Rattus norvegicus: one gene and its partners. The protein of the gene in region 1 binds, or shares a complex with, the protein of each later gene. Links are inferred from orthologs where the notes say so. Each region holds a gene or a part of one and is shown in the gene's direction. Other genes may lie near its edges. The genes, in order: Nedd4, Arrdc3, Grb10 and Gja1.

Evidence for each region.
Region 2: the proteins of Nedd4 (region 1) and Arrdc3 are in contact, whole or in part, in a crystal structure (PDB 4N7H), measured with the Homo sapiens proteins. The link is inferred for Rattus norvegicus from reciprocal best matches to the Homo sapiens genes NEDD4 and ARRDC3. Residues at the interface, in NP_001271267.1 of Homo sapiens: Glu847, Arg849, Ala851, Pro852, Phe857, Ile859, Asp860, His861, Lys864, Thr865, Thr866, Thr867, Trp868; in NP_065852.1 of Homo sapiens: Glu344, Ala345, Pro346, Pro347, Ser348, Tyr349, Val352.
Region 3: the proteins of Nedd4 (region 1) and Grb10 are in contact, whole or in part, in a crystal structure (PDB 3M7F), measured with the Mus musculus proteins. The link is inferred for Rattus norvegicus from reciprocal best matches to the Homo sapiens genes NEDD4 and GRB10. Residues at the interface, in NP_035020.2 of Mus musculus: Glu71, Leu72, Val79, Arg104, Ser112, Ile114, Leu115, Thr116, Ser117, Val118, Gln119, Glu134, Ile135, Leu136, Phe137, Arg138, Leu242, Pro243, His244, Pro245, Pro246; in NP_001357532.1 of Mus musculus: Ile514, Arg516, Gln518, His519, Phe521, His522, Gly523, Arg524, Asp548, Gln579, Phe581, Gly587, Asn588, Thr589, Lys590, Phe591, Ser592, Ile595, Gln596, Asp599, Phe600, Leu603, Asn604, Ile617, Arg618, Val619, Ala620.
Region 4: the proteins of Nedd4 (region 1) and Gja1 are in contact, whole or in part, in an NMR structure (PDB 2N8T), measured with the Rattus norvegicus proteins. Residues at the interface, in NP_037118.1 of Rattus norvegicus: Asp416, Asp417, Tyr422, Val424, Asp425, His426, Ser428, Lys429, Thr430, Thr431, Thr432, Trp433; in NP_036699.1 of Rattus norvegicus: Pro277, Leu278, Ser279, Pro280, Met281, Ser282, Pro283, Pro284, Gly285, Tyr286.

The regions. Positions count from the first base shown.
Region 1 is NC_086026.1:82,271,253-82,274,812, forward strand, and holds part of Nedd4 (E3 ubiquitin-protein ligase NEDD4), read left to right. Parts: intron 1-221; coding exon of another isoform or gene 222-222; coding exon 223-387; intron 388-1,419; coding exon 1,420-1,493; intron 1,494-3,560. UniProt on the Homo sapiens protein: E3 ubiquitin-protein ligase which accepts ubiquitin from an E2 ubiquitin-conjugating enzyme in the form of a thioester and then directly transfers the ubiquitin to targeted substrates. Specifically ubiquitinates 'Lys-63' in target proteins.
Region 2 is NC_086020.1:12,872,074-12,876,061, forward strand, and holds the start of Arrdc3 (arrestin domain-containing protein 3), read left to right. Parts: upstream 1-1,128; 5' UTR 1,129-1,364; coding exon 1,365-1,644; exon of another isoform or gene 1,645-2,609; intron 2,610-2,820; exon of another isoform or gene 2,821-2,957; intron 2,958-3,845; exon of another isoform or gene 3,846-3,988. UniProt on the Homo sapiens protein: Adapter protein that plays a role in regulating cell-surface expression of adrenergic receptors and probably also other G protein-coupled receptors.
Region 3 is NC_086032.1:90,813,548-90,817,749, reverse strand, and holds the start of Grb10 (growth factor receptor-bound protein 10), read left to right. Parts: upstream 1-1,362; 5' UTR 1,363-1,568; intron 1,569-4,202.
Region 4 is NC_086038.1:36,301,356-36,305,412, forward strand, and holds the start of Gja1 (gap junction alpha-1 protein), read left to right. Parts: upstream 1-1,208; 5' UTR 1,209-1,391; intron 1,392-2,401; exon of another isoform or gene 2,402-3,219; intron 3,220-4,057. UniProt on the Homo sapiens protein: Gap junction protein that acts as a regulator of bladder capacity. A gap junction consists of a cluster of closely packed pairs of transmembrane channels, the connexons, through which materials of low MW diffuse from one cell to a neighboring cell.

The DNA.
Region 1 (3,560 bases):
TCACTCCAGTCCACAGCTTGGAAACATTGCCTTCATTTCCTTTTTACACATGCACAGATAGACTCACATCCAACTTTTTACTTGCTGAGCCATTGAGAATAAGTTACAGAGTTTGTGCCATTTTCCCCTGAATATTTTGTTATGTATCACTTTAGAAAGTGTAATATTTTTATTAATTTGTTGAGAATTTCATAATAATGTATTTTTTTTTAATTTTTACGGGTATGGGAGTTCTGTCTGGATAAGAATGAAGAGGGTGGTGGATCCCCCGGAAGTGATGTCACAGATACTTGTGAGCCACCATGTGGATGCTGGGAGTTAAATCCGAGTTCCCTGGAAGAGGAGCACGTGCTTTTCACTGCCGATCCATATCTCGAGCTTCACAATGTACGTTTTTAAAATTTTTATTTATGTGTATGGATGTTTTGTTTGTATGTGTGTCTGTATATGGTGTGTGTTCCTAGTGTCCATAGAGACCAGAAGAGGGCTTCTTCAGCCAGAACTTGGAACTGGACATATAGTTGGTTGTGAGTGACCATGTAGGTGCTGGGAATTGAATCCAGGTCCTCTGGAAGAACAGCTGATGCTTTTTACTACTGAGCCATTTCTTAGCCCCACGATTGATTGACTGATTGATTGATTGATTGATTTCTTTTGAGGCAAGGTCTCATTATATAGCCCCAACTAGCCTGAAACTTAACTCTGTAAACCAAGCTGGTCTTAAATTATTGTCATGTTGACGCCAAGGGATTAGAGTGGTTCATCACCTCACCTAGCCATACACAATGTAATTTGACCATTCTCGCCCCTCCAACTCCTCACCCAGCTCCCCTTAGATGAGACGTCTCTTTTAAGACAAGGAAGTTCTCCCATAGGACCTCATTCCACTGTGACCTGCTAGGTCATTGCTATTTGACATATCATAGTGCGCTCACTGTTATTTATAAACTCTTTAATGAGACTTAAAATTGCCTTTTCTTAGTAGTTATTACATGATTATGATGAGCTTCTGATTTTATGTTGTGAACGTGGTAACAATGGAGACTTCCTTAGTTACCATTGTCATTAGTTTTTTTTTTTTTTTTGGTTCTTTTTTTTTTGGAGCTGGGGACCGAACCCAGGGCCTTGCGCTTCCTAGGCAAGCGCTCTACCACTGAGCTAAATCCCCAGCCCCCTTTAAATTTTTCTTATAAATTTTAAGGCTAAATTCTTATTGTGTGTAATAACTTGACTCTAGTTCTTTGCTTTTTGTGTGTGTGATCAAATGTATCTAAAAATGATAAATTTTGTTTTTATCTTCTTTTATATACCTTTTAATCAGATTACTTATTTTTAAATATTCTCCAAATTTAGTATTCTGGTTATCATTGTATTAGATAACTTGTAATTACTTAAGTAAAACCACCCTTTGCATTTTAGGATGACACGCGAGTTGTGAGAGTGAAGGTTATAGCTGGCATAGGTCTGGCCAAGAAAGACATCTTGGGAGCCAGGTAAGTATGATATGTGGGTTTGGAGTTTAAAGAAATAATATTTCTTTCTTGGACTTTGATTAAATGAAAATCTGAATGATAATAACAAATTTTGGTGTACAGTGAGGACCTTACAGGTTAGGTGGTTGATTATTTTCTTGGTATCTGTAATAGTGATCAGTGATAGTTATAGATTTTTTTATTTTAAGTCTCTAAATCCTTTAGCAGATAATAACCACCATAATCTCTGGGTGCAATAGAAAAAGTACCTCTGAGCATCAAATGAGCAGAGCGGGAGTACTGGGGCGAGCCACATGAGAGCGAAGCAGTGGTGTGGAGTGGTTCCCTTATGGGAATTAGTCTGAAGCCAGGGAGAATTACAACCTGGAACGGGAGAGGTAGTCCCACAGCCTGAAACCCTGGAGCAGGTTGGACTCTCGTGGTGGAGAAATGAGAAGAACAGATTGGAAGGAAGCATGGCAGTGGTAAGGAAAAGATTTGTACCCTCAGCTGGTGTCAGACGATCTGAGCGGAGAGCTATTGGCCCAATAGAGTTTGTGACCCTTGTCCAAACAAGGTAGATAAACATGGAAAAATAACAGAACCTAGATTCTCTGTAACTAACTCAGCTTACAATGTCCGGGACACAACATGTAGTCACCTGGTCTGTGGAGAGACAGGGAAGTGGAGCACAGTAAATGTCAGTCAATAAAGAGTCTGTGAGCAGAGTGTGCTGGGAGGCAGAGGCGGGAAGACCTCTGAATTCAAGGATTGTCTGAGTCCAGGGCTGCCAGGCCTACATAGCGAGACAGTGTCTTCAGGAAACAAAAACTGGGCCAAAGGGAAGAGTATATGCTCATGGTCAGTCAAAACCTTGGAAGTTTCAGGAATGAAGTAGAGACAGACAGACAGACAGACAGACAAACAGGGAAATTCTACAACTAAAATATATTTGAAATTAAAGTACTTTGGTTGATTATGATAACTGAATGGATACATAGAGCAAAGATGAACTGAATATAGATTAATGGGAATCATTTACCAATTAGAAGATGATAAAGAAGAAAGGTCTGGGGGTTGGGGATTTAGCTCAGTGGTAGAGCGCTTGCTAGGCCCTGGGTTCAGTCCTCAGTTCCGAAAAAAAGAACAAAAAAAGAAAAAAAAAAAAGAAGAAAGGTCTGTTTTAACTACGTTCCAGAAAGACCAGAGAGCTAAATAATGAAATAAAATATTTTTAAAGAGTAAGTGTCTAAATCTGGAAACAATAAATGAAATATACAACTGGACTGGAGTGTTGGCTCGGCATTCCGGAATTGCTCTTACTGAGGATTCCCAGGGACCCGCCTGTGACCAACTCCAGGGGATCTGGCGCCCTCATGTGGCCTCCACAGGCACTGCACTCACAAGTACACATACAAATCTTTTAAAGAAGAAATGTTAAAGCAGGTTAAAGTTCCTGGTGAAGAGAGGAAAAGCATCAGAAGCAATAAATACCTGGAATCTTCAGACACTTTTAAATTAAAAGTTTTATTTTTGTGTGAGGGTGTTTTGTCTTCATGTATATGTGTGTATGCCTGATATTCATAGAGGTGAGAAGAAGGTATTGAGTCCCCTGGAACTGAAGTTACAGATGTCTGTGATCTGCCATGTTTGTGCTGGGAATCAGACTTAGGTCCCTTGCAAGAGCAGTAAGTGCTCTTAACCTTATACAGAATCCATTGGACTCGGGACTCCCAACCTTCTCTTAGGGATTTATATAGATGAAAAAAATACCCATGGGAATTACAGCACAAAGGACGGACGTGTCTGCTGTGACCCTGTGTGGGAGAACGGTGCCATAGAAAGCAAAGGCAAAGTGAATCACTAAAAAGTAGGAGACATGGGGCTGGGGATTTAGCTCAGTGGTAGAGCGCTTACCTAGGAAGCGCAAGGCCCTGGGTTTGGTCCCCAGCTCCGGAAAAAAAAAAAAAAAAAAAAAAGAACCAAAAAAAAAAAAGTAGGAGACATAAATAAGCCATCTGTCAGCGGTGAGGCAAAGAACACTAGGTTTTATAAGAGCAGACATTTGCAGGGTTTTTGTTGTAGTTT
Region 2 (3,988 bases), on another chromosome or scaffold:
GATCTGATGTTTAACTATAGACAACCTCGTCCGATTTTGGCTATGCATAAAACAGGATTTCATAATATAGCCATGTTATGAGGTTATGTTGACTGTTAATGATCTTAGTCTATGCCATTACCCTCTAAATCCTGGTGATGTTTAGAACTGCATTTTTTTACTCAAGGCATTGAAAAAAGGAGAAATGTGCCTGTATTTAAAGATGTAGCACGGCAATTAGCATGTTGAAGTAAAAGTAAGGCTTAAAAATTAAGCCTCATTTATGTAACAAATCATACTTAAAAACCAAAAACCACCGTATATGCTTTTCTAGCTAAGACTTTTCAGTCTGTTGTAAACAGTGTCAGCTAAATGACTATGTTCAAACTGTCTCTTATGAGGTGGTAATTAGGGGTGTGAGCTCTATTCTTATTCCTGAGGATACAGAAGTTGTAATCGCGTCATTCTCTGCAATGGAGCAGTAGGTGGTGTCTTGAAAAAGGACTTTTTCTCCCGTCGAGGAAGTGGTCGGGCCTACACACTACACAGACAACTTGGTCGAGTTTGAAGCTGTAGGAGTCTGGGAAGGCAGCTGAAGACAAGAGCTGCCTGGAGCATTGTTCTTTGGCTCCTAAGGCCTTGGCTTAGTCCATTGCCACCCTGTCTACAAAGTCCTGCTTGCTTTTGTTGTTTCTATCCAAGTCAACAATGCTTTCTAGTATGAACAATATTTGTCTGCTTTTTATTACATTTTCTTTTGAAATTCATTAGCTTAGACTGGGGCCACCAGCGGCTTGCCCAACCGGTTTCTCCCCTTCCCCCACGGCTCGCACGTCCTGCGGGTCCGCGGTACGGGCGCACACCCTGGCCTGGCGCCGCCGGGCCCCTCTACCTAGCTCGCGGAGCGCGTGCGGGGCCGGCGCTGCAGCCGCGCGGAGTGCCCGCCGGCCAATCGCTGCGGCCCATGCACCGAAGTCAGGGACGCCGGCTCCACACCTACTGTACCGGGAGCGCGCGACGAGAGGGAGGCGCGCGCCTCGCGGGAGGGAACGCGCAGGGAGGCTGGCTGCAGTCGCGGCCTGCGCCTGCGCACTGGGGTTGTTTTTCACAAAGCTGCTCTTAAAGTGAGCTGGCAGCCTCCAGCCGCCCGTCTTTGTAAGGAGACCACTGAGACGAGCAGGAGCGTGGAGCAGCGGCTTCTCTGCTGCCCTGACTTTTTAAGAAATCTCAATGAACTATTTGTAGACAATCACTGATCCTGCCTGCAAGATTTTTTTTTCTTTTGCACGGCAAAGACACCGATCAGTGTTAAGTGAAGATCACATCTTATATGCGATCTTGACTTTTTTTGGTCTTATTATATTTTTATAGATTTTGTTATAATCATGGTGCTGGGAAAGGTAAAGAGTTTGACAATAAGCTTTGACTGTCTTAATGACAGTAATGTCCCCGTGTATTCTAGCGGGGACACTGTCTCAGGAAGGGTAAATTTAGAAGTTACTGGGGAAATCAGAGTAAAATCTCTTAAAATTCATGCAAGAGGACATGCGAAAGTACGCTGGACTGAATCAAGAAACGCCGGCTCCAATACTGCCTATACACAGAATTACACTGAAGAAGTAGAATATTTCAACCATAAAGACATCTTAATTGGGCACGAAAGAGGTAAGTTTTTATATTAGTCACTACATTCTACTTCTGTGCATGAGAACTTTAATCTCCTTTAATGCAGTTCTAGTCGGCAGTTTGATGAAGGTAGCAAACTTAGAAGATGTAGTTTCTCCTTGACGTCCAAGCGTGTTAAGCTGTAATCCATGCAGGCGTCTGCAAAGTGAGTGCAAACTGCACTTAACTTCATCTGTAACCGGCTTCATATCTGCCATACGCACCTTATAACGTGTTCAAATGTGACTCCGTCGTTTTACTGATATTTTCAAATTCATTTGCAAAGACTGCAGTCCAATGTTGGATTTCTCCTTTTATTTTACAATCTTAGATACAGGAAGGAGCACCAATAAAGAACTGTAGTGACATTTTAAGAAGGTTGCTAGATGTATCTGCTTTTGATATTAACGTGCAAACGACTTTAAAGACTTGATTATTGTTCTTTGATAAAGGGTTTCCCTGGCTTATTTTGACATATGGCATCAACACCCCCACGTGTTTTCCCATTTCTCCCAATTCCTTTTAAAATGTACATCAAGCACCATTTATTTTAAAGGATAATATCTATCATTATGCAAACTATTAAGTCAGTTTAGAAGCCATTCCGGGTCAGTACTTTTCTTCTCGGAGCATCATGTCTAACTTTGGAACGTGGATTCAATGAAACCCATGGCAGACAGATGGAATTGAAAAGTATATGGCACATCGGATTTGGTTTTTGGGTACAAGATGAAGATTAAGGCATTGTCAAAGGGACAAGAGGTCCTAAGATTTGCGATCTGTTGTTTAAGTGGCTACAATGTGGAAATATAGGCGACTCCAAGCTTGTTTTTCTAAGTTTCCACCCTTTGTTAGAAGCGGTTCAATCCTGTTTCGGACCAGTTCTGGGGGATGGTGAGGAGGGGCGCTTGTTCTGCTCTCAGCAGATTGGTTACACGCGTCAGGTGGTGGCGATGACTTAATTCCTAGTCCAAGAAGAATATAATGTTAAAACTGGTTATGTAATTTGTGTTTCTTCTTTCTAATGCAGTATTTTAGTGCAAATACTGGCGATTTTTCAGATAGAGGCATGCTTTTTTTTTTAAGTATCTAAAATATACATCCTAGGGAGACGTTAATTGAACTTAACGCAAGTGAGAAATGGAGGATGCTTTAAGTTACACAGAATTAATGTACCGTCTTTTAAATATAAAGGTGAAGCCAAGTCTTGGGGTTTACGCAGCTACACCGAGGTGTTCTACATGCTGAAATGGTTCCCTAGTTCACCTTCCGCAGCGTCCACACGAATGGGCCATACAGTACCTAATGACAGCGCTCGTATTTGTTTTTTAAAAAGGGCAGATCCATGAATTTGCTTTTGAACCTGCTTTGACGTCGCACCCTTTAAAAACATAAGAAGAGACAAAGGCTTTTTCCTCGAAGAGTTAAGACTTGTAGTAGGGGGGAAAGAACGAGTTCTGTGGACACACACTTGATCCGTTGCACCACGATCTCACAGTTAAGATAACTACCTGCGCCCTGCGAGGTGCCCCAGCAAGCCTGGCTACGCGTGGACGGGCTCTTAAGGCTGGAATAGTTTCAATGACTTCAAACTGGCAGCTCGCTCAAACTAGCCTGGTAGCTGAGCGCCCGCCCCGGGCGCCCAGCGATAGGCGGAGCTGCGTTTGTTAGCCTGTTGCTAAGGCGATGCCAGGCGTTGATTGGACTGGGCACGGGGGGGGGGGGGCGAGGGGGAAGTCGAGCCGGCTCGCGCCGGCTGGGGCGAGGCTTGGAACCGGCGTGCGCCGGTAAAGGTCTCTCCCGGCCAGCCGCCTCCGCCCCTCGGCGCGCCCCTCTCCGGGTGTCCCAGGCCCCTCGCCCACTGCAGCCGCCGCAGGTTTCATTGCCCTGGGCTCAAGCTCGGTTAAAAATCCCACCAAAGGCTGATCGAGGTGCGGGCGCCAGGGTACCCCCGGGGCTGGTACCTGTGTGACCCGAGGGGACATGACACAGGACAGATAGGGGAGACATCACCGGCACCAACTGGGCCTCGCCCATTGTTCCCCGGGGCCTCCGCCTCCGCGCCGCCGCCCCAGTTCCCCCTCGCTGTAACAGCGAAGGTGTCAGGGTGGCCTGAGCCAGATTGAACCGGTCACCGGCTGGGGCGTGGAAAGCGGAAGCTCGGCTTGCTGTGGCTCCGCCTCCGGCCCAGCATTCTAGGCTGCTCGGGCGCGAGCGCCGCGCGACGTATGCCGTATGTATAGCGGGGCGCGCGGAGCGCGGCCGCGCGCGGGCGGGCCGGCTGGGATCTGCTCAGCGCCGGTTTAGGCCGGTCCTCTCCTGCTCTAGTCTAGTTCTTGATTGA
Region 3 (4,202 bases), on another chromosome or scaffold:
ATCGCTGGTGAGACTTTGCAGGAAAACTAAAAGGTTTGAAGCAAATCAACTTGGGAAAAGTTAGCCCAGTTTTCTCTGCTTTGGTTCGCTTTTGAGTCCTTTGTCTACAAAAGACTTCTTGTGTTCCTTTCCCGGGGAATCGAAGACTTATTTCACATCCTTTCCTCTGGATTTTCACCTTGTGGGTTTCTGAGTCTGGACCAACGGCCAGAAACAGGAGTGAGTGTTCAGTTATAAGAAAGGGAAAACTTTTCATTGATTACATCAATCTGAGGTCGGAAAAACCACGGTTAGAAGCAAGAGGTACCAGAGCAGTGCTCTCAAAAAGCGCGTCGGGACAATACGTGCACAGCACAGCTTTCAAATCCTTGCCCTGAGCTCCCTCCCAGCTTCTCAACCTTCTAGAAGTTACTTCTTAAGAGACTCAGTCTCTCTACTTCTCTACAGTTGCTCTAGAAACAACCTCAGAAGTTTGAGTGAGGGAGAAGTAGGAGAACTCACGAATGTTTCACACCACGTGTCTTCTCGACTACGGTGATTTACGGTTGGGGCTGCTTTTACCAAGCCGAAACTCAAGAAAAAGGTGTAATTATTGGTATCCTATCTGTGCTAGAAAAGCGACACAATATAGACATTAAGAATTATTTCGAAGGGGCCGATCACATAAGCCCTGTTGCCTTTTCGTGGGTCACTTTAGAAACCGGGCACGGCCCGTCTGGGCTTTACTTTCAGGAGGGCCCCACTTCAGAGGTAAAGGACACGAGGCTTGCTAGGCTGCCTCAAGAAACAATGAAGGGCCTCTCAGGCTTCCCTCCTTCGGCTACTCACACGCAGCTGGCGAAACTGAGGCTGAGAAAGGTGAGGCTCGGACCGACCCGCCGTGAGCAAGCCCGAGTTTCCTTGTCCGGGCCCGGGGCTGCCCACGACGGTGTCGGGCGGCCGCAGCCCAGGAAGAATTTGAACTGTGCGGTTGGGGAGTACTTTCTGAGTTTCGAACAATTCCCTTCCGAATGGCCCTTCGGGACAGGTCCGGTCGGTCTTCGCCGGCGCGGCCGCGCACCGGGGCGGTGGCGTGGCGCCGGGGGTCCCGCAAGCTGCGAGCATGGTGGGCGCGCGCCGGCCTGGGCGGGAGAGCATCGTGCCACGCCAACCCCGCGGCCGCTGAGCCCGCGCCCCCCGCGCCACGCCCTGCGCCCAGGCCGCGGCTCCTCCCGCGCTGGCGGCCGCCGAGCGGTCCGGGCGGCGGCGGGAGGAGGAGCAGGAAAAGCGGCCGGGGGAGGAGGAGGCGGAGGCGGTGGCGGAGGCGGGGAGGGCGGGCGGGGCCCGGAGAGTTTAAAGCCCATCGAGGGGGTGGGGTGCGGGGAGGCGGCAGGAAGAGAAGGGCGCTGCGACCAGTGGCGGGCGGGATTCGCGTTCCGAGACCCACGGGAGCACGAAGTTTCCGCGCACCGTCTCACGCACGGCGACTGGGACCGTCCAGTGTCCGTCTTTGCCTTCGGCTTTTTCGCAGGGACTCGTGCAACGTGTGGCCAGCGGCCACGCGGAGGCGACGAGGAGCTGCACGCCAGGTAGGAGTTGGGCGGGGAGCGGCGGCAAGTTACTTTTGTGGTCCGCGCCTCGCGGGGCCCGGCGGCCGGGCGGCTCCCCGCGCCGTCATTGTCTGCGCTCGGGGCCGCCCGCGAACGGGACGCGGGGCCCCGCGAGGCGCGGCGGGCGGAAGGGCGTCGCCTCGGGGGGCTAAGGGACTGAGGGGCTGCGGCGCCCCCGGCCCGCGGCGGGACGGCGCGGGATGGCGGGACGGGACGGCGGGCGCGCGGCTGCGGCGCCCCGCGACGCTCTCCACTGCGCTCTGGCCCCCGGGGGGAGGCTCGGGGCCCCGAGAGGGACATTCTTGAGCCGTCTTGTCCGACGGCGACGGCTCGGGGGGCTCGGGCGGGGGCCGCGGTCAAGGCCGCGCTTTCGGGGGCCACCGCCCTGGAGGGTGGGCGCCCGGGGATCACCGGAGCGGCGGGTACTCCCGCTGCGCCCCCGGCCTCGGCGCGCGCGCCAGGCGGGCCGGGCAGCGGTGCCAGACACTCCCAAGTCCCAAGCGAGCGCGGCCCGGGCCGCGGTCCGAGGATCTGTCCCTACCCCCCCCCCTCGTGCCCCAACCCCCACCCCTTTCTTTCTTCGGGTCTGTTAGTGGCCCCGCTACCCGTCGCTGGGGCCTAACACCAAGTTTGAGGGCTCGCGAAAAAGCAGCCCGCCAGCGGTGGAAACGTGATAAGAGCGGTACCGTTTGCAGAAGGAAATTTCTGATGCAACTCTCCGCCTTTGCTGATTGCCTCTCCAAACGCCTGCCTGGCGAGGGCCTGCGGCATGTGCGTTATGGAAATTAGGGTATTCACTTTTTAAAAAAATTGTATTTGCCTTCTCTTGGCATTGGAAGAAACCCCGCGAACTTCTTTTCATTTGCTTTAACCAAAAAAGTAGGAGCGCCACAGGTGATTTTTACAAGGCCCCGGGTCTTTGGGATGTTTTTGAAAAAACTCTTTTCTTGTAACTGTTTCATTCAAGAGATGCAAAGAAAAAGTCCAAAACAAGTAGCATTAGTGAGTAAATATGTGTTATTGCACAACTTTCCCTTTGCGGCTGTTTAAAAGGCCAGGCCCAGAAGACTTTGTTTCAGAAATTGCTGATTCAGCCATTTGGAGCCCCTGAGTTTCAGAAATGGTGCTCAGTTTAACGTTTCGCTCTCCTTTACCAGAACTCCAGTCGTTAACATCGCCCCCCCCACCTCACCCCCTCGAGAACAGACTAAGGCTTACACTTTAGTGAGGTTCCTATTTTACAGAAGTGGACCTCGAGTTCTGGATTTCTGCAGCTGAGGGAATTGTGTAAGGCGATGGATGAGGCGTCTTAGAACTATTTCACCAAGAGTGCTGCGATCAAATGTGCTCCCAGGAATGAGTCTCGCCTACCAAATTTTTGTCTTTAAAAAAAATCAAAACTTTAGGATTACTGAACATACTTTTTTTTTTTTTTTTGAGTTTTACTGGGAACATTTGAAAGAGGCCAGTCCCCACATTACAGGGAGGGAATTTGAGGACAGACGGAGTTGCAGCCCAGCAGGCGTTGCAGTAACTGAGAAGTGTAGCCACTGATACTGAGGTAGCATTTCGCAGTTTACAAGGCGCTTTCAAAAGCCCTGTTGCTTTTTATGCGCTTCGTGGCCCCCACGGTCCCCATTTTACAGGTCTGGAAACCAAGGCTCAGGAGGTTAACTGGTATGCCTCAGGCCGCACCAGCTAACAAAGGACAAAGCTCTGGGGAGACCTCCTGAGCTTTTTACCGTCTGCAAAAGCATGTCCACTTCTAGAAGAAATGGTGTAGAGGAGGGACACCCTGCTCAACACACAGCAGAGCAAATGGAGGACGGGGCCTGGTTTCTTAGACCAGTTGCTTCCAGCCTTCCAGATTAATGCCACGTAGACCAAGCAATTATCACTGAGGTTTTTCTTTTTTCTTTTTTCTTTTTCTTCTTTTTTTTTAACTTACATACTCATTTACTTTGAGAAGAAACTTCAATATTCATCAAGCCATGAGTTTGATATGATATTTTTGTTCATTATGATTAAAGTTAAAACGCTTCGTGGCACCTAAATCACTTATTACACACTACTTGGCCTATGTTGCTTTTGAACCAGTGTTGGGTTGGTCAAAGTGGATTTTGTAGGCGGACTAGGGAACCAGAAAGCAGGGCAGATTTTTTGGTGGCTAATTGTCTAGGACTTTGGGTGGTGGTTACTGCTATGGTTGGAAGCCAGAGCAGCTGTGTCTGTCCAGTTAGCCTCCACTGGGCAAGAAGGACAAAATCAGAACCAAAGATCCAGCTCAAAATTTAGGATGTGGCTGAACCCGCTGGGTCACAGGCTTTACAGTGTTTCGAAGCCAAACTTTGGTTGAACCAAGCCATCCATGTGCCCTTAGCTCATTTTAGAGCTGTACAGATTTTTGCTTGGCCTATCTTTCTTTTTAAACTGGTATTTTATAGATGGTGTGATTTAGAGAACCTATTTGCTTGAAAGTTTGTTCCACGTGTAAGAAACTACAGGACCGTCGTGTCTATTTGCAACTGTGCGCTGGGGGCAGTTGTCCATCCGTGGAGACTCAGTGCTCCCCGCCGGACATTTCAGTGTTGGCACTTAATAGGAGGGAAGCCT
Region 4 (4,057 bases), on another chromosome or scaffold:
GTGATGCCTGAACAAAGGCCGAGAGATTTCCCTGCCTAACCCCGGGAACACCGCTGAAGCCTGTTTATTGCCCTGCCATAAGCCCTCTTGGAGGACATCTGGGAGCCCTCAAAGGAGCTGCCCACCCTTAGGAATGAGGTTATATGACTCAGTCCTTCATAAACCCCGTCAGGTATGATGAGAAAGCCATGAAGTTGTAGGCAGGCGGTCACCAGGCAGACGTCTCTCCCCTGGATGGGCTTCCTAGGGACATGATCGAAAGAGAGGAGGAAGTTTTCAGACTGGCTTTATGCTAACATAATGTATCTGGAAACTCTAGTCTGCAGTTAGGAGGAGGAGGAGGAGGAGGAGGAGGAGGAGGAGGAGGAGGAGGAGGAGGAGGAGGAGGAGGAGGGAGGGAGGGGAGGGGGAGAATTTTGGCATCTTCCTGCCGATTTAAATGCTAAATTGTAGTCATGAATAGGACTGAGATAGGACGTTCACTTCCTCGGAGACTGGGTAGAGGTCAGTATCAACGTTTCAGTCCAAAGTTACCTACATGATATTTTTCATAATACATAACATCTACCTTCCTGTTCTTAATCGAAGGAATACACAAAACTATCTAAAGCAGCAGAGAAACCGACGAGTAGACATACCCCTCCACTGGGGCTGGTTGTGAAATGCCTTTCCCATGCCCACCGCCTTTTTTCCTTTGTTAATTGTCCGTGTTTAAGAGGAGGAGAATTAGGTCATAAGAAAGATCACGCACACCCACCTCAAGCTTCACACACCTTGGGGAACGCAGAACAAGTCTGCACGAGTTGACCTTGTCCCCCCCGCCCCCCATTTTTATTTATTGCATTTTTTTTTCATTTAGAAAATGTAACACGAAAGGTACGTCTTCTCCCTCCCCCTGGTCATCCCCTGAAACAAGCCCTACTACACCCAACAGTATTTTATCTGTGAGGAGTCACAGCCCTGCAGTGGCCGACGGACAGCTAGAGCTGTTTTCTCATATTTTTTTCCCTTCTCGTCAGCACATTCAAACTACAACTTTATCTTGACCAGGTTGCTTCTGCCTGCTCAGCCCCACGTTCGTCAGCCTCCTCCCCACCTTCTCCCCGCCTTTTCTTCCTCCCTCCCCTTTCTCCTGGCCCCTCCTTCCAGTTGAGTCAGTGGCTTGAAACTTTTAAAAGCTCTGCGCTCCAAGTTAGAAAAACGCTTTTACGAGGTATCAGCACTTTTCTTTCATTGGGGGAAAGGCGTGAGGAAAGTACCAAACAGCAGCAGACTTTTAAACTTTAAACAGACAGGTCTGAGAGCCTGAACTCTCATTTTTCCTTTGACTTCAGCCTCCAAGGAGTTCCACCAACTTTGGCGCGCCGGCTTCACTTTCATTAAGTGAAAGAGTAAGTTTTGATAAAAAACCCGCTTTTACCTAATAGCGTCTCTTTCTGTCAGGAAAACTCTTGCACTGTGCTTTGTAAACGCGTTGCGTCTTTGGCTTAGGATATCGTAAGTAGAACGATGGTCTTCCAAGTGTCTTTGCCATTTCCACGTGCTGGTTTATATTTTGATTGTTTAAAAAGTTCCGCTGCTCGTGCAACAGGTAAAAGGCTCAAACTTTTTCCAGCTAGAGTGAAGGACCAACTTCCTAGACTTGGTTCTTTGTTGTGGAGCCTAATTTTCACTTTTCTGTAGTCCCTGATGGAGAAGGTGCTGCGGTGGGAGGGAAGGGGGGGTCCCCTCCGTCAACTTTGCCTAGCCTGCTTCCTCTAGTGCAGGACACTGCAGGCTTTTTCCTTTTTCCTCCTGAAAATCCCGTCGGCTGTTCTACAGCCTTGAGAAAGCTGGCTCCTTTTGTAACAGTGCTTTGTTGAGCCCCTGCCGCAGCAGTTGACTTCCACGTGGTTCTTCCTTAGCCTTTTTTCTGGATTAAGCCAGAAAATACGTAGATCGGGGTGCTGCGGGTAGGGTTTTTAGACCAACAGTAGTTACTTTGTGCGAGCCAGCGCGGTGCTACGGGACGAACCCCTCAGCCCACACAGCCAGCTTTTTTTTTTTTTTTCCCCTCCACGCTGGCAACTGCGGGCGCGAGAAATCTTGAATGGGTGGTGGTGACTTGGGGAGCGTTAGAGGAACCGGCGTTAGAAACAGTGTGTGCCAGGGTGCTTTTCCAAAACCAACTGCTAAAACCCAAGCTCCTAGAAGGAATGGGGAAAAGGGAATTTTGGAGCCGCGCTTTAGAAGGGGCTGCCCCCTCCCCACCCCCACCCCCCTTCGCCTGCCTGCCCGGACCTGTAGGGACTTCAGAGCTGTTGGGACAGTTTTGAATTAGCTTCTAGAGGGTGCAAAGCACTAAGCAAAAATGATGTTAACGTGCAGTTTAAAGGGGATCCGTCTTAAAGCTGTTATTTTTTTTCTTTATTTTTAAATTGGTAACACATTCTGTAAAGCACTTTGCCCAGTCTTCATTCTGTCCGGCCTAAATCCACACCGAAACGACTCAGGGTGGGTCTGTAGTTTTGTTTGGTTGGTTTTTTTTTTTTTTCCCGTGTACCAGACGGGCCGAGTCCTTTTGAAGTGAAAACTTTAGGGCAGAGGGTGGCACGGGCCCTTCCTGCCCAATCTTAGCATCATCCCGGGCTCGGCTCCCCGCAGCCTTCCGGCTTCGCGGTCCAGACCGCTGCCTGCGACGGAGGGGGGTTGGGGGGGAGGGGAGGCGAGCCTCGCGGCCGGACCGTCAGAGGCAGCAAGTGGTCGACTTTATTAAAGTTGTCAATCTGAAGTCTCTTCCCCTGCCCTCCGAGACGCCTTTTCGTGGTTTCTCTGCCTAAACTTGTCGGGTGGCTGAGTGGAGCCCCCGGGAAGGTCCCCTGAACACCTAGGGAGCCCGGGTGCTGGTAAATGCACTTGTAACACTCCTGGAAACTCTTGAAATTCCCCAAGAATGAGGCGGGGCGGAAGAAGGAGGGGCAAAGAAGACCCTTCGAGAAACCGTGCGACAGCTACTGACGTGTGCTGAGGCAAATCCGTTCAGGATTGGAAAATTCAAACCTTGACTTCCGAGCAGAGTTCTCCCCGTTAGTGCCCTCGGGTCCACCCAATGCTCACTGGGCATCTCTGGCAGAGCCTTGGCCGAGCACTCGGCGGCCCGCGCCCGGAGGTGAGCTTCCCTTTCCCTCCCACTACTGGGTTTTGAGGAGAGGAGAAGAGCCTACAGGGCCGACTTTGGAGGTGGGTTTGATTTCCTTTGTTCCCCAAGCACAATAGTAGTGACTGGAAGGTAGTGAATCTTACCAGTCCAAAAAGACCTCTGGGCAGCAACCTTGAATGGTCAGTAGCTTCCCATGAGGAAGCCTGAGGTTAATTTTTTCTTTTTTATTTTCATGAGGATTGATGAAAATAAAAGTGTGTTAAAGTAAACGAGGGCATAGACTGCGGGGGTGGGGTCGTACTAGTTAATTCTGCTGGGTAGGCCAAGTTGTGTGGAAATGAGCGCATTTACAGGCTGTACTTTCTGTCCTGGAGAGGTGTTGAACTCTGGATTACTGGAATGCACTCCCCGGTGTGTGAAAGCTTTGTGCATCTAGATTCGGGTACAGTGGGCTACCTGTCCCTTGCTGGGGTTCCAGGTGGTAGTGCTTTGGTACTCCACTGTCTAAACACACACCACATAGATGTTCTTCAACGTTGTCCCATCATCCTTTGAGGTTGGGATTCTTATTATTGCTGACCTTCCACGGGGAAATGTGGTTCTAAAGCCAGCAGCAAGAGGGGAAGGCTGCGTTTCCTTCCGCGAAGGGAGCAGAACTTGGTTGCTTAGCCGTCTTCAATTCCTGCAGAGAGAAGGGATAGCAGATACTCTGCTTTGCTTTATCACCGTATTGCAGAGGTGCAGTTCATGTGAATTGTAGAAATTTGTATGCCCCGAGGGAAGGGAACTATAGGAAAGTCACCCACTGATTAATACCTCGAACTCCACCTATCCTGATCTTCTACCTTCCCTTCATGATTCTGTTTGACTTCTGATGTGTCGAGGCTTATCCAGCTCACTAAGGAGAGAAATAATCAT